Caenorhabditis elegans: one gene and its partner. The protein of the gene in region 1 purifies or fractionates together with the protein of each later gene. This does not show direct contact. Each region holds a gene or a part of one and is shown on either strand. Other genes may lie near its edges. The genes, in order: coa-4 and mltn-1.

Region 1 (6,405 bases):
GTTCAATCAAGTTAGACTTATACGTCCGGTGAGTTCAACGGATTTTATTATTTACATGGAAAACCAAAACACGTAGGCCATGCGTAAAATTAGACCAGAAAGAAGAGTGAGCGGGATAAGATTTGCGAAATTTTTGATATTTTTCTAAAACAATAATATTGATATCTATTTTTCCTATTACGAGCAATCAATAAACAAATCGAATTCCTAGAATTCAAGTGAAAGTGAAAATTTTTGGCTGGTTTGATTGGGAGCAAAAGAAAGAAAGGCACAAAATGTGAGGTTATAATTTTTGTTTCTTATTATTCAAATGGAGCAAGTGCTCGCCGAAGGATTCCATACATTGAATTGATGATTCCCCATGCTACTAAGGATCGAGTGAAATTTAGATGAACACCTAAATAAAGACCACGAAGCGAACGATTTCGAAGTTGCCACACATCACGAAATACTTTGAAACCACTTTCGTATTTGACACCAACCTGGAAAAATTGAATGATTTACGATACTTTTGGATTAAAAAAAATATATTTCGGAGTTAAGATATCCGAAATATAGTTTAGATCAGTAAGTATTTTAATAATTTTTGATAGTTAACAAATTACCTTCGCTTGCATATGATTCTTGATAACACCTAATGGGAAAAATGCTGTAGAAATGGTTGCTCCCAATAGAGATCCAGCTACGAAATCACCAATTAGTTGCTGAAGTGATTCAGGAAGACGTCCAGCTTGTGGGATTCCGACTATCTGAAACACAGATATTATAGGAAAGTATTTTTTAAAATGCTACAAGCAAATCGTAAATTATAATATCCCTAGAAAATAAGCTCACTTTTTGTTTCAACGGATCTCGAAGAGTGAAGAAAATTGTATTTGAAAGACTATTTCGGATGAGAATAACAGAAAATCCTCGATAATATTCCCGATAACCATAGTCGCGGAGACGATTGAAAGTGTGTAATGTGTTCTTAAATTTGTCATGAAATATTGTTGTTTGAAGAAGTACTTGAACCCGTTCCAGCGGGCAGAGCATTGCTTCGCATACTCCTGCTGAAAAATATTAATTTTAAAGAAATTAATGGTTAACTGATCACTTACACAGAAATGCAGCTTGAGCGTGACAAATTGAAAACGAAGAGTTCGGAGGTGAACGTGGACATTTTAAGGAGATCTAAATTATTTATCCTTGTTAATATAAATATTTCATGTAAAATTACCTGAAATTCATCATATAATCCGTACATTAATGCTCTACTCGTCGTTCGCATTATTAGAGGAGGTAATAGTCCTCTGTACAACTTTCCAACGCCTTCCAATTTGATTTGTTGAATTGCATCTTTCACGTGGAATCCATGAAGTTGCTGTCGAAAGATGATTTTATTTGATGGATACAAAATGCATGTTTCGATGCATCCGGCTCCCCATCCCGCCAAGAAATCCAAATGGTTTCGATGAGCGACAGTGGTCGCCGGGTCCGCCGACTTCCGACTGCTCTCCAGCGTGATTTTTGCGCGGAATTCGAGCTTTTATTACCTGAAAAAGTTTAATTTTTAATAACCAGTCAAAGTTCGAAAAAGAACGATTTTTTGAGCATGAGACAAGCTTCTTGTTGACAAAAGATAAAATTAAGAAAATATTCTTTAGAATTTTCTAGGCCACACCATTTCGCGGGCAGAAAAGACAAGTTTCATCAAATTAAACCTATATACAGATCAGTTTTCAATAAAATACACATTTTGTTCTTTAAATACATCAAAAAACAGCTCCAAAAGTTTAGAATAAGCTTTAATTCGGGCTAGAAATAAATTAAATATCCAAATTTTTCGACGGTGGCCGTGGCCGATATTCTTCTACACGAACTCCTCTCGGACAACAAGATTGTACAAAATTTTTTTCGATTGTTCTGTTTCGTTTTTCAGAGAAGAGGTTTCATGTTTTTCTTTCGAAATTTCGTTTGTCTTTCTTATTTTCAGCCTTTTTTCCTCTTGTAATCCTATTCCAAGCAGATTGTTATTCGCTCAAGCCAACTAACCAGATTTCCTCAAACTTAAATCGCTCATATCTCAGCTCAAAACCATCGCAGAAGCTTCGTTCTTTAATCAATCGATCCCAAATTTCAAGGAAATCTCGAATATCCCCATCTCAGGTTTGAGGCAAAGCCGAGAACCTGCGCAAGCTACCTTTTCGGGCATCCCCATTACCGAAGGGCTGGCGCGGCTCTCCGATTTGCTAGTTTTCATATTAAAACTATATTAAAAAAGCTTTTTACAAGTTCAAAAATAAAATAACGTGTAAAACACGTGGTGGACAGCAAAGTCGCTTGTTAAGATTATCAAAAAATGTTCCTAACTAGCGGAATAGTTCTGCGGCAATTTTTCACCGTCGCAGCCAAGGTTGCGTGCGAAAATTTCACCGATTATCGAAAAGAGAAAGAAAAAGAGATAACGCCGAAGTATAATCAAAATTGAAAATTGAAAAAAAAACCGAGTTGTTTCAATTTTAACTACTCTTGTGTACTTCACTCGGAAAATCGGCACCCCGAGCGATGTACACTGCAGGGTTCTCTCAATGCCTGCGTCTCTTTCTAAACTCCAAATCTCTCATCCTACGCTTTGTCTGTCTTTTCTCGAAAACGTTGCTTCTTTTTATTTTTCAATAAAATACCAAAGAACAGAAAATTGTCACAGGGTAATGTCAACTGCTGCTCCAACTGCTACTAAGGAAGCACCAAAATCTCCTCATATTTGGACTGGAAACGCCGATCAGGAAGACCGTGTCGAGTCACTCATAAAGTATGAAATATGATGCAATTTTTTTGAAATTTAAAACAAAAATATTATTTTCAGGAAGTCTGGGTGCTGGGATCTTCATCTAAAAGTCTCGGATTGTATGGGAGAACATAGAGATTGGAGAAAGTGTCAAGACGTGGTTTGTTTTCTTCTTTTTTCTTTTTATTATTAAAAAAAATATACTTTAGGTAAAAGAATTCAGAACCTGTGTTCAAAGCGTTCAAGTCGGTGAGCCACCAAAAGAAGAATCAGAAACAAAGAATAATGGATTTTCTCAATGATTTTGACCCTTCCGATGACGAAAATAATTGTAAACATCAAGAAAAACCAACTTATCTACCTTTCAAACCGAATTTCCATGAAAAATATTGGTATCGTAATGCTTTAAAAGAAAATCAAACAGCGACTGCAATAACGTAAGTTGGATTAATTTTTATTCACATAAAACTCGTAATTTCAGTGAAATTGACTTGTTCCGAGTGGCTGATTGTTATCATAATGGGGATTTCGAATGCGCTGAAAATGTAAGAATCATTCATTTTTAAATTTTTGGTTTTAATCCGAAATTTGGCTGGAAGTTATGAGCCCGGTGTTGACACGACAATTTTTTGTTAAATGCGTACGCATTTAAAGTACTTTAATTTCAGAATTTCGCTGCTGCGGAATTTTCATCGATTTTTCATTGTTTCTCTCTAGATTTTAAATTCAAGGTTTTTATTGTTATATATTTCAACTTCAATAAGAAAACTATATTTTTCATCAAAAAACTACGAAAAATCTATAAAAATTTCTCCAAACAAAAGCTTGAAATTACAGTACTATTCAAAAGCGCACGCCTTTTCGGATTTAACAAAAATTTGTCGTGGTGAGTTAACTTTTCAGAAGTAAAAAATTACGAAATTGTTTGTTACAAAAATAAACATAGAACAACCTGAAATTCTTTTTAAATTTAAAAGTACAAAACACAAAACGCCACTGAAAAGATCTAAAAATTTGGAACGCTTCACGAATTTGCGTGTCATCCGTGCGCAGGGGCCATGCTAATCTTCTCTGTATTGTTCCAATTTTAGTATATGTTCTAGAATTGGAACAATACAGAGAAGATTAGCATGGCCCCTGCGCACGGATGACACGCAAATTCGTGAAGCGTTCCAAATTTTTTGTGACGTTTTATTGGTGTTTTGTCTTTTTACTTGTAAATCATATTCTAACTTCAAAAGTTTCAATTTTAGATTCTCACCGGGCTCCGTGAAAGCACGAAAAACAATCGTACACATGAAATAATGCTAATCGATTCTCTTCTCCAATGTTCCATCAAAAAAACATCGGAGGTAATTTTATTTTTAGTATATGAAACTATAAATTTTATATGATTTTTTTTCAGCTGTCTTCACCTGAAACTTCAATTTCTCTACAATTTCTTTCCTACTACGAATCCATTTTGGTCGATTTTGGTGATCAAATTCAGTTTCTACGAACAAAAGCTTTTCTTCTCTCAAAGTTACCTTTCACATCAAACTATCAGAAAGAATTCAAAAACACGGTATTTTATCGAATGCAAACATAATACAACTCCGAGTTTTCTAGATGGCACTTCTTTGTCAATTGTGTGGATCATTCGAAAATTGGCAGCTTTTTGAAATCGGCTCAAAATATTTCACGAAGTTGGAAATGTTTGGGCTGAAATTGAAAATGAAGAAAGTTTTGAAGTATGAAATCGATCATTCCAAAGGATTTATTCAGGAGAAATTGAAGAAGAGATTGGAGAAAATAACAAAAGAATTAAATGAGTTGGAAGGAGAATTGGAAAGTAATATTGTGAGTTATCAAATGTAATTTAAAAACATTTTATAAATTGTACCATATAAAATAGTGAATATTATTCCCAAAACCTCAAAGTGATCTAGACATTCATTAGCAATCAATTCTGAACTTTTGTGAATACATTTTTCTATATTTAAAGTATGTTAGTATGACTTCTCTAAATATAGAGTTGATTTTATTTTAAAAAAACCTAGAAATTATATTTAGATAGAAATGCATTGCCATAGTTCCCAAATTATGAATAATTTCGTTATCTTCAATTTCAGATCGAATCAATTCACTCTTCTATCAACTCTCACAAAGACACCACAACAGTCGAATCCACTCCAAATTCAGAATTTCGTGCTCATGAAAGTCGCTCCAAAAACAAATTAATTCCAGTTTCAGATCAACCAGCCACAATTGAAGACTTCTTTCATCGTTTTCCATTTTTGTCATTTTAATTTTCTAGGCTATTTTGTTAGGTTGTTCATTGTTTCATTTTTTCTCTTATCGTTTAATTGTTACTTGTATTTTGTTGGCTTCCGTATCTGAAAATTTGCAATTTTCAAAAAGTTCATTACTGCAAACTTGCATAACAAGAATTGGGAGTGACATACACTCTCCCCAAACCATTTTAACAGTTTTCCTTTTTACGAGGTGTGTCTCCTCAATAATCATCCAGTTAAAAAGCATTCAATGTCCACGTAATTCGATTTGATAACCTATACTGATATGCCAAGGTGATATCAAATGTGCTGCGACGACACGATCATATAATTTTTGCCACGATTCGGTGTGTATGCACACGGTCGAGAATCTTGACGACGCCCTGCCCTTTTTTTGAGTCAGCTTCTCACTTTTTCTTTAAACGTCACTTTTTCAAATTTTACCGTTCTTTTTTTAATATTTTTTTGAAAAAAAACAAGATGTAAAAGTTAAATTTATTTTCAAAAAACTTCTTATACTGAAAATCTAAGGTTTTTGTACTGTTGGGAGAAAATTTTCAGTAGTTTATTTGATTAAAATAAACTAGATATTCCATACGGTCGTGATAGAACCGCTTTATCTTCTGCCTTCTTTGCATTCAACTTTCCGCGCGAGAGGCGAAGATTCGAGCCCCCGTAAAACGACTCAGTACAGCTCCATCCTTCAGCTTTGCTGTTCTGCTAATTTTTCCTGTTCTCTTGAATATAGTTGTTTCACCAGATATGTCAAAAAAATTTATGTTTCACATTTTCCAAGTTTTTTAAACGGTGAAGTATTAGGTTGGTCCGGAAGTCTTTATAACTTTTTCAATCGTTTATTTCTCGAAGCAAGAGAAACGATAGGATACATTTTATTCGCTATCATTATCAACAATATACTGTCTACGTGTGGGCAACTTATTAATGCCCTGCTAACAGTACCCTTCCGGGCGCGAGTCGAAATAATGCTTGAGTGCTACATTGGCACTTTTTTGGGTATTGAAGATTCTCCGCTCGTGGACACGGGTCATATTTGAAAACGACTAGTATTCAGATGGAGTGAGGTCTGGAGAATACGGTGCGTGAAGGAGAACCATCCATCCATGGCTGGTATGTTCCTACTTTTCCTGTTTCGAGAGGTGGGAACTAGCGTTGTTTTGCTGAAAACAGAATTGCTTGTCCATCAGGGGTGAACCATCGATGACTTCCTTCATGTTCCATGGTTAGATAACGTAGATGTCCCCACTAATCATTTTGCCCTCAGGCAGCAGTTCCCAGTAGAAAGGGCCCTACACTCCCCTCCACACTGAGAGCATGCCTTTTTTGGGGTGAAGGTCGGGTTTG
Region 2 (9,207 bases), on another chromosome or scaffold:
GGAATTGTCGTTTGCCGGATATCATATTTGGCGGAAATATTTAGAGGACTTTTTTTTTTGAAATTTTCAGCAACTTGCCGGTTTGTCAATTTGGCGAAAGTTTCAATTCCGGCAATTGGTCGATTTTGCGAAAATTTACAATTCTGTCACGTTGCCGGAAATTTTCATAATTGCCGAATTGTCGTTTGCCAGATATCAGATTTACCGGAAATGTTTAGAGGATTTATTGAAAATTTTCGGCATTTTGCCGGTTTCACGATTTGTCGGAAATTTTCAATTCCGGCAGATTGCTGATTTGCCGAAAATTTCGATACGGGCAATTTGCCAATTTGCCGGAAAAATCGTTTTCCCACCCCTGTGTTGTATCTCGGATGATTTTGAAAATATCAGTATAATATTTATTAAAAAAATGTAGAGATAAGTGAAGCATCTTGGAAAATTTATCTAAATTAGATCGACCCAGGAAACTTGTCTAATTGGCCGGGATTCGAAAAAACTGAATTACCGTATAAAACATACTCCATCTTTTCCGAAAGTCTGCCCTATTTATTTATTCCAGTCGGAGAAAAAGGCATGGTGGGAAACTCAAATTTTCTAAATTCTAGAACTTTCTAAAAAATCTGAAATTTTCTAGAATTTACAATAAATTTTTATAATTTTAAAGAACATTGTTTCAAAAATGGTAAATAGAAATTTATTCTCTGAAATGAGAAATTTTGATAAATTAACAGTACACAAAATTTTTGGGAGTCGAAAATAAGTTCAAATCAATCGTTTTATTCTCGCATTTTTTTTTAAATATAATAAAGCCGTACTAATTTAAAATTTGATTTTAAAAATAAACACGATTTTTTTACTACGAAATGAGCTACAAAAATCAAAGACAATTGAAGATTTCACAATTTTTTAAGATGAAAAAAATATTGAAAAATGTTAAATTCCGAAGATAAGAAATCAAACTTTTTTCTTTTGTAAAAAATATATTTGTTAAATTTTCGGCAAATTTATTTTCCGGCAAATTCGGCAAATCGGCAAATTTTCGGTTTGCCGATTTGCCGGAAGTTTTCATTTTCGGCGATTTGCCGATTTGCCGTTGCCGGCTCAAAATTTGGCGGAAGGTTTTAGGCGGATTTTTTAAAGGACGGAAACACTTAAGACTGTGCATTTTGAATTTTTTTTTCCGTTTTCTGTAGATATTTTCATAGAATTTGCTTACTTTTCAAAATAGATGTAGGAACATTCATGAGAAATTAAAGTGCACACAAGAGACAGCTATACTTTAAAAGCCGAAAAAGAAATGTAAGTCATTGATTGTTCAATTGCCGTTCGGCAAATTTTTTGTCGACAAATTCGGCAAATTGGCAAATTGCCGATTTGCCGGAAACTTTTATTTTTGGCAATTTGTCGATTTGCCGATTTATCGGATATTCTCAATTCCTGCAATTTGCCGATTTGCCGGAAATTTTGATTTTCTGCAACTTGCTGATTTGCCGGAAACGTTCATTTTCGGCTAATTATCGATTTGCCGGAAACTTTCATTTTCGGCAAATTACCGATTTGCCAATTTGCCGGAAATTTTAATTTTCGGCAAGTTTCCGGTTTGTCGATTTTCCGGAAATTTTCATTTTCGGCAGTTTGCCGATTTTCCGAATTGCCGGAAATTTACCGATTTGCCGGTTTGCCGTTTGCCAAACATCAATTTGCCGGAAATTTTTAGAGGGAGTTTTTAGAAGACAGAAACACTTGAAACTGTGCCTTTTTGAAATTTTTTCCCGTTTTTTCTAAATATTTTCATAGAATTTGCTTATTTTCGAAAAAGATGCTGGAACATTCATAGAATGCGTACATTTTTGCCGATTAAAATTGAAATTCTAAAGCTTAAAAAAATTGAAAAACCACAATTCGGCGAAAATTTTCGAAAATCTCCGTTTTTCCGGCAAATTCGGCAAATCGGCAAATTACCGGATTGCCAACAAAAATTTCAATTCCAACGATTTACCGGTTTGCCGATTTGCCGGAAGTTTCAATTCCGACGATTTGCCAAAAAATTTTTAATTCCGGCAATTTGCCGATTTGCAGGTTTGCCCAAAATTTAAATTCCGGCAAGTTGCCGATTTGTCAAAATGCTAAATTTCTGCAATTTGCCGATTTGCCGATTTGCCGGAAAAAATCGTTTGTAGTTTGCCGCCCAGCCTAGTTTACCGGTACACTGTGTGCATAAATCGTAATCAAATATAGGGATCCTATTGGATATCACTCGAGAAAACTGAATTACCGTATAAAACTTCTAATCCTTCCAAATCCGAAGAACCTGAGAAGTTGTCAAACACACATACAGGGAACAAATAGTTTTTCGCATTTTCAAAGATAAAAACCAAAACTTGAATCCTTTTTGACCGCCCCCCCCCCCTTCAAACTAGCATCATTGAAACAATGCGCATTCCACGTGATATGAACACACACATACACACTTCAATCTTTATCATCAAAATCGTGAAAATCAGGATCAAAATGTGGCCACCTGTTATGCTATAGATCTTGGTTCAACGGGATCATCTCCCATCCTTTGAGAACATCTTCTCTCCTCGTCACGGGAAGGCACCGCCCAGCAAGTGATAACCACGTTTTGGAAAAACTTTCGGGATGAATCCGAAAACTCCGCCCTCTTTACATCCAGAAATCCATAAAATCACAGGGAATCCCTTTTCTCTGGTCTCTGGTTTACCACATTATGATCCTATTCCCTATTATTTTATTTCTAACACTTCTACCGTATCCATGCACCTGCTTAAAAGTTAAATCGGAAGTAGATGTGACAAAATATGGGTTGACGCAAAAAGAAATCTTGAAATCTCCACATTATAAAGACAAAGTTTTCAATGTTCCCATGTCGACAGAGTCTGGAGAAGAGCTCTTGGAGCATTGGGCGGTTCAAGGATTTTCCGGAGTTGTCGCAGCGATTGCTACAAGAAGGTGAGATCAGACTTTGTTATTTTAGACCTAAAATGGTCTAAAGCTACCGAATTTTGTGATGAGACGTTCTGAAAATTTTTCAAAAAAAAGTTATGGCCGCTCAAAGTTTTGGAAAAAATGATCTTTTTTTTTAGCTAAAATCTCAAATTTTGGCAACTTTTCGCGGCAATTTTCGACCGGCAATTCTACAAAATGAGACAGTTGGGCATGTTCCCCATAAATTTTTCATTAAAATTTAATGATACAATATAGAAAAATATTTGCTTTATTTGAAAATAACTGTTATTTTAGTAGAAAAATCTCCAAAAATAGTCTGAATGTTGACAATTGCCGGTTAAAATTGCCGAAAAAGTGGCGGCAATTTTCACCGGTAATTTTCAATATTCGGACAATTTTTGAACACTTTCTCGGTTGTTCCAAGTCAAATAAAAGTTATCTTCAAATAAAGTAAATATTTGTCTATATTATATCATGAAAATTTAATGAAAAATATTGTGGGAACATGTCCAACCATCTCATTTTGTAGAATTGCCGGCTGGCAATTGCCGCGCACTCTGAAAAGTTGCCGAAATTTGAGATTTTAGCTAGAAATTGACCATTTTTGCCTAAACTTTGAGCGGCCATAACTTTTTAAAAAATAAATTTTCAGAACGTCTCATTACAAAATTTGGTAGTTTTGGACCATGTTAGATCTAAAAATGGCAATTTCTCAAATTTCGTTACTTAACATTTAAGAAAATACGCATTTAATGCCACGAGCAATTTGTTAAATTTGTTAAATATATTAATATTTCAGACTAGCCCTTGTTGAAGACTACCAAAAAAAGAGCCATGAGAAATGCTCATCCGAGGCTGAAACTCTTTCGGAGCACGCAAGTTGCTTGCTCAAGCTAGAAGACGACGCACATAGAAATCGATTGGTTCATAGGAGAAAGCTCTTCAGCAGAAGTGAGCATTTTAATTTTACGTAGTTTAAAAGGTAAACATTTCTAGTTGACTTGAGAATTTCTGAAGAAATTTTCCCAATTTTGCCCAAATTTTGCCCAATTAGTCGGCTTGCTGTACGAGCTGACAGCCAAAAAAAAAAATCAGCTAGCCGTTCAGCCCTGATCCCCACTGTACTGAACATATTCCAGAGATGCGTCGCCGAATCGATAAGATGGTTACCAACACTACAATGACTCCAATAACTGAAAAAGAGATTCGGGAAGATAAAGAATGGATTGGGTCATTCAAGTTTCGGGCAAAACGAGAAATTAGAGTGCACACCAGAGATAGCTATACTTTAAAAGCCGAAAAAGAAATGTAAGTGGTTGAGTGTTGGCGGCAAAAATTGTTTATTGACAAAAAAAATTGGCAAATCGGATTGCCGGTTTTCGGCGAATTATCGATTTTCCGGAAACTTTCATTTTCGGCAAATTACCGATTTGCCAATTTGCAGGAAATTTTAATTTTCGGCAAATTTCCGGGTTGCTGATTTTCCGGAAATTTTGATTTTCGGCAAATTGCCGATTTGTCGGAAATTTTGATTTTCGGCTATTTGCTGATTTGTCAGAAATTCTCAATTCCGGCAATTTATCGATTTGCCGAATCGCCGGTTTGCCGGTTTGCCAAATTGCCAGACGTTTTTAAAGATAATTTTTATAAGACGGAAACACTTAAAATTGTGCCTTTTTGAAATTTTTCCCGTTTTCTTTAGATATTTTTATAGAATTTGCTTATTTTTTTCAAAACAGATGTAGGAACATTCATCGAATGCGTACCATTTTGTCGACAAAATTTGAAATTCTGAAATTTCCAAAAAAGTACAAAACCACAATCCACTATTTGTCGACAGTTTTCGGCAATTGCCATTGTCCGACAAACTCGGCGAATCGACAATTTGCCGGTTTGCCGGTTTTTCGGAAGTTTTCAATTCCGGCAATTTTTTAATTTGCCAATTTGCCGGAAGTTTTCAATTCCGACAATTTGCCGATTTGCCGATTTAAACAATTTGTTTGCTGCCATAAAATATGTATAAACCGTAATCTGTTCTAGGACACCATTCGGCCTGGTAACGAGACATCTCTCTAGCGCTGTGAAACTTCTCAAAAAGACGGACAAGGTGTCAAAGTGGCAAGATACTATCGAACGAATCACCAAGAAAGCCGAAGAAATCAAAGAGCAAAAGAAAATGGAGGATTTTATGCAAAAGAGAATGTCGATTTATGCAGATGCAGCTGAAAAGATGAAGCAGAATAAGAAGATTGCGAAGGATGATAGTTTAAAGGAGTTCAACGATTTGGAGCAATTTATAGACAATGATCAGATTAAGGAGGTGTTGAGGAATAGGAAGAATAAAATGACGGAACAGGAAAAGTTGATGATGATTCCGATGAAAATGATGAGAGATGGTTAGTAATGTGAAAATTTTTAATTTGGCCAAAAGATATATTTTTACAAAACGAAACCTTCTAATTATAATAAATAAAAAACAGCCGCCAAGATGGGATTGGAAATGTCGGGTCACAATACAACAGATTTCGATCGGAAAATTGTCAGAATTATCAGTCCACGTCTTATGAGTGTGATTCCACAAGAAGAAGCTGCAAAGAATAATGAGGTAAGGGACAGGCGTGTGCGGCAAATTTGGCAAATTTGCCGAAGTTGCCGAACCCTAACGATTTCGGCACCCGGCAATTTTCGGACTAGCCGAATTTCAAAAGTTTCGGTCGGCCAAATCAATTTTGGCGACCGGTAGTGGCCAAAATTGCCGCTTGCCGAAAAATTCCAAAACCGGCAATTTTCAAGTTTGCCGAACCATAACAATTTCGGCAACGGGCAATTGCCAAAAATTTTCAAAACCGGCTATTGCCGAAATTGTCGATTGCCGAAAAATTCCAAAACCGGCAATTTCCAAAATTGCCGATTGCAGGAAATTTCGAAAACAAGCAAATCTCGATAGAAAACAAAAATTTCCAAAACCAGCAAATCTCGAAAAAAATGCCCAAAACCGGCAGTTTCTGAAATTGCCGATTGCCGGAAATTTTCAAAACCGGCAATTTCCGAAATTGCCGATTGCCGGGAAATTTCCAAAACCGACAATTTCCAAAATTGCGGATTGCCGAAAATTTCTAAAACCGACAATTGCCGAGAGTTTCCAAAACCGGAAATTTCCGAAGTTGCCGATTCCAGGGGCGGCAAATCACGAAATTTGCCGAGCTCGGTCAGTTTGGCAAATTCGGCATATTTGCCGGACACAATGTTCGAAATTTACAGATTGATCTCCTCTCTCCTTCACTATTTGCTCTACACGAGGATGGCTCTGGAGTAGAAAAGAAAGCATCACTCGGAAACATCCTAGGATCTCTCACCGATAACAAAGACTCTCAGGATTTCTTGGATTTTATTGTGGAAGCAACTGGTGTCAATGAAGCGATGGAACGGGTTGAAAGAAAAATCGGAGAGTATCGAAGACTCAAAGACGATGCGATGGGAAGAGGGCCTGAAGGTCAACCGTTGTACTTCACAAAAGAAAATGTAACAGAAAAATATCCGCATGAGGCGAGGAAAATCGAAATGTTCGAGTCTTTGGATAAAACTTATACCGATGAGCAGCTCAAGGAGATGAACAGAACAGGCTATACTATTATGAGACATGATCAGATGGATTTGATCTACGGGAAGGGATCAGTGGGGGAAAATGAGAAGTTCTTGAAATTGGCAAAATCAATGAGCAGACCACAAATCGATAGAGCTATTATGGGAACAATCAAGGACTTGGCACATGAGAAAGTCAAATTTGAGGCAAAGAGAAATGATATTATTTTATCACCGATCACATTTAGTAACTTCATTTTGGATCCAGTGGTGAGTTAACTGGCCTGTGCGCAGGGGTGCATGACAATTGCAGACCGGCAGTTCTACAAAATTAGACGGTTGGGCATGTTCCAACAATATTTTTCATTAAATTTTTTATTTTTTTTTCATTAAAGATACAATATAAAAAATATTTGCTTTACTTGAAAATAATTTTCACTAGACTTTTAAATAGCGAGAAAGTGTTCAAAAATAGTCTGAATGTGGAAAATTGCCGTCAATTTTTCGGCAATTTTCACCGGAAATTTTCAACATTCAGACTATTTTTGAAGATCTTTCTACTAAACTAACAGTAATTTTTAAATGAAGCAAATATTTTTTATATTCTATCATTAAATTTCAATGAAAAATTTATGGGGAGCCTGGCCAACCGTCTCATTTTGTAGAATTGCCGGTCGACAATTGCTGTGCCGGTCGACAATTGCTGACTGTGCAGCAAACATACAAAACGGCTTCAATATTTTCAATATGATAATCCAATTTTTTAAATCTAAAATAGGTATAGAAGTGTAGAAAAATGTTTGTTCTATCTGAAAATAATATTTATGTTTGTTGAAAAGTTTGAAAAAATTTTCAAATAGTCCCTGGAAGTTATCGTTTGCCGAAATACTTTTAACGGCATTTTTTTCAGCAAACGGCAACTTTCTGGCACAACTTGAGGCTTTTTAAGAGATTTTTCAACAAATATAAATGTTATTTTCAGATGGAACGAATTTTGTTTAATATATAGAAACATGTTTGTATATTCTGAAAAGAATTTTACTTTTCAGTGAAAGTTTTGAAAAATTGCTCGAAGACTATCTTAGTTTCGTAATGTGCCGATCAGGGCTATCTGAAAATTTGCAGAGCTCGGCAAACTCGGCAAATTCGGCAAATTTGCCGTTCTTCGCAAACTCGGAAAATTTTGATTTTTAAATATTTTTTGGAGCACCAAAATTACTGTTATTCATAGAAAAATTTTGAATAGTGTAATATTGCCATTATCAGTGGCTCTGTCTCAATTTTCTCAAAAATCGAACGCTCTTACTTGAAAATCTGGAAAATTTATTCAAAATTTTCCAACAAAAAATCTCCCATATTGCAGGCTGTCTCCCAACCGGCAATCCTGTCTCCTGTCATGCTGTCATCACTGATCCTCTCTCCAGCTGTCTACGGAGTAATGATCCTTTCCCCATGGCTATTGGTACCTGTCATTCTTTCCCCGCGTCTTCTATCACCAGTAGCTGTGAATCCGTTCCTGCTGGTTCCGATCATTCTATCACCTCTAGCCTTTAACCCATTCATCCTGTGCCCAGGATCCATGAATCCATTCGTACTTTCCCCGCTCATCTTCGCCCCATTCATTCTCTCCCCACAAGTACTGACTCCACTGATCTTGACTCCGTTCTGTCTCGGACCAATTATTCTGAACCCACTGGCGTTGAGTCCCCTAGTTCTGTCCCCATTCGTCTTGTCCCCGACAATCCTCTCTCCTCAGTATGTGACTGCTGTCGTGCTTTCTCCATATGCTCTGAGCCCCGCGTGGGGATCCGATGGAGCTATGGTCACCGTGTTTGCCTCTCCAAGTTGGCTTTCATAACATATATATATATATATATATATATACTTCACTTGTGAATTTATGGGTCATATATCTAACTTCTCAATCTACAACTATTACATGTACAATTTAATAATTGATTATTTTTAATAATAATAAAAATATAATAATTTTTATTTTGACTTACACTAAAACAAATCCAGACAAGATAGTCTAAAGAAAATATTTTTTAAGCTGTTCGAAAACTGGTATGAGAGTGGATAAAGATTAGTTTTCTGAGCGTCTAACAAATTAACAAATTACATCAAGATACATTAAGTGCTCCTCTCAAGCAAGGAGTGTTCGGCAAGTTAGCCAAATTTGCCATTTGCAGACCTCGGCAAATTTTGAAATTTGCCGCACAGATTTATCTTGCAGCATTAGGCAAAAATCGAGCGAAAACCAGTGAACTTAGTTTTTTTTGCATAATTTTTTACACTTTTTGAGCTCCAAAAAATATTGCCATATTACTAAGAGTACGGTAAAGTTGCCGAATAGTTCTGCTTTTCCAACCGACAAAACTGCCGATTCGCCAAATTTGCCGGAAAAACTGCAATTTGCCGAAAGTTTCCGGCAAATTGTGGGTTTGCACTTTTTTTTTGGAAATTTCAGAATTTCACATCCTATGAATGTGCCTACATTTATTTTGAAAAGTATGCAAATTCCATGAAAATATTTAGAAAAAACGGAAAAAAATTCAGAATTTTTTCCGCAGTTTTAATTGTTTCCGCGTCTGATAAAAAAATCTCTCTAAACATTTCCGGCAAACGGCAAATCGGCAATTTTCCAAAAATAAA

The links.
Region 2: the proteins of coa-4 (region 1) and mltn-1 fractionate together in Caenorhabditis elegans (co-fractionation; one large-scale study listed by BioGRID). This does not show direct contact.

The regions. Positions count from the first base shown.
Region 1 is NC_003282.8:9,332,176-9,338,580, reverse strand, and holds coa-4 (Cytochrome Oxidase Assembly subunits), read left to right. Parts: upstream 1-2,978; 5' UTR 2,979-2,979; coding exon of another isoform or gene 2,980-3,055; coding exon 3,056-3,207; intron 3,208-3,251; coding exon 3,252-3,315; intron 3,316-3,778; exon of another isoform or gene 3,779-3,952; intron 3,953-4,023; coding exon 4,024-4,122; intron 4,123-4,175; coding exon 4,176-4,334; intron 4,335-4,378; coding exon 4,379-4,609; intron 4,610-4,881; coding exon 4,882-5,058; 3' UTR 5,059-5,284; downstream 5,285-6,405. Other genes in the region: slc-25A51 (Solute carrier family 25 member 51), read right to left, coding at 303-482, 606-749, 835-1,052, 1,101-1,173, 1,220-1,270; T20D3.14 (CHCH domain-containing protein), read left to right, coding at 2,694-2,794, 2,849-2,930, 2,980-3,072.
Region 2 is NC_003280.10:13,138,682-13,147,888, reverse strand, and holds mltn-1 (MLt-TeN (mlt-10) related), read left to right. Parts: upstream 1-2,663; 5' UTR 2,664-2,731; coding exon 2,732-2,973; intron 2,974-3,769; coding exon 3,770-3,921; intron 3,922-4,109; coding exon 4,110-4,278; intron 4,279-5,010; coding exon 5,011-5,366; intron 5,367-5,450; coding exon 5,451-5,575; intron 5,576-6,231; coding exon 6,232-6,822; intron 6,823-7,915; coding exon 7,916-8,410; 3' UTR 8,411-8,545; downstream 8,546-9,207.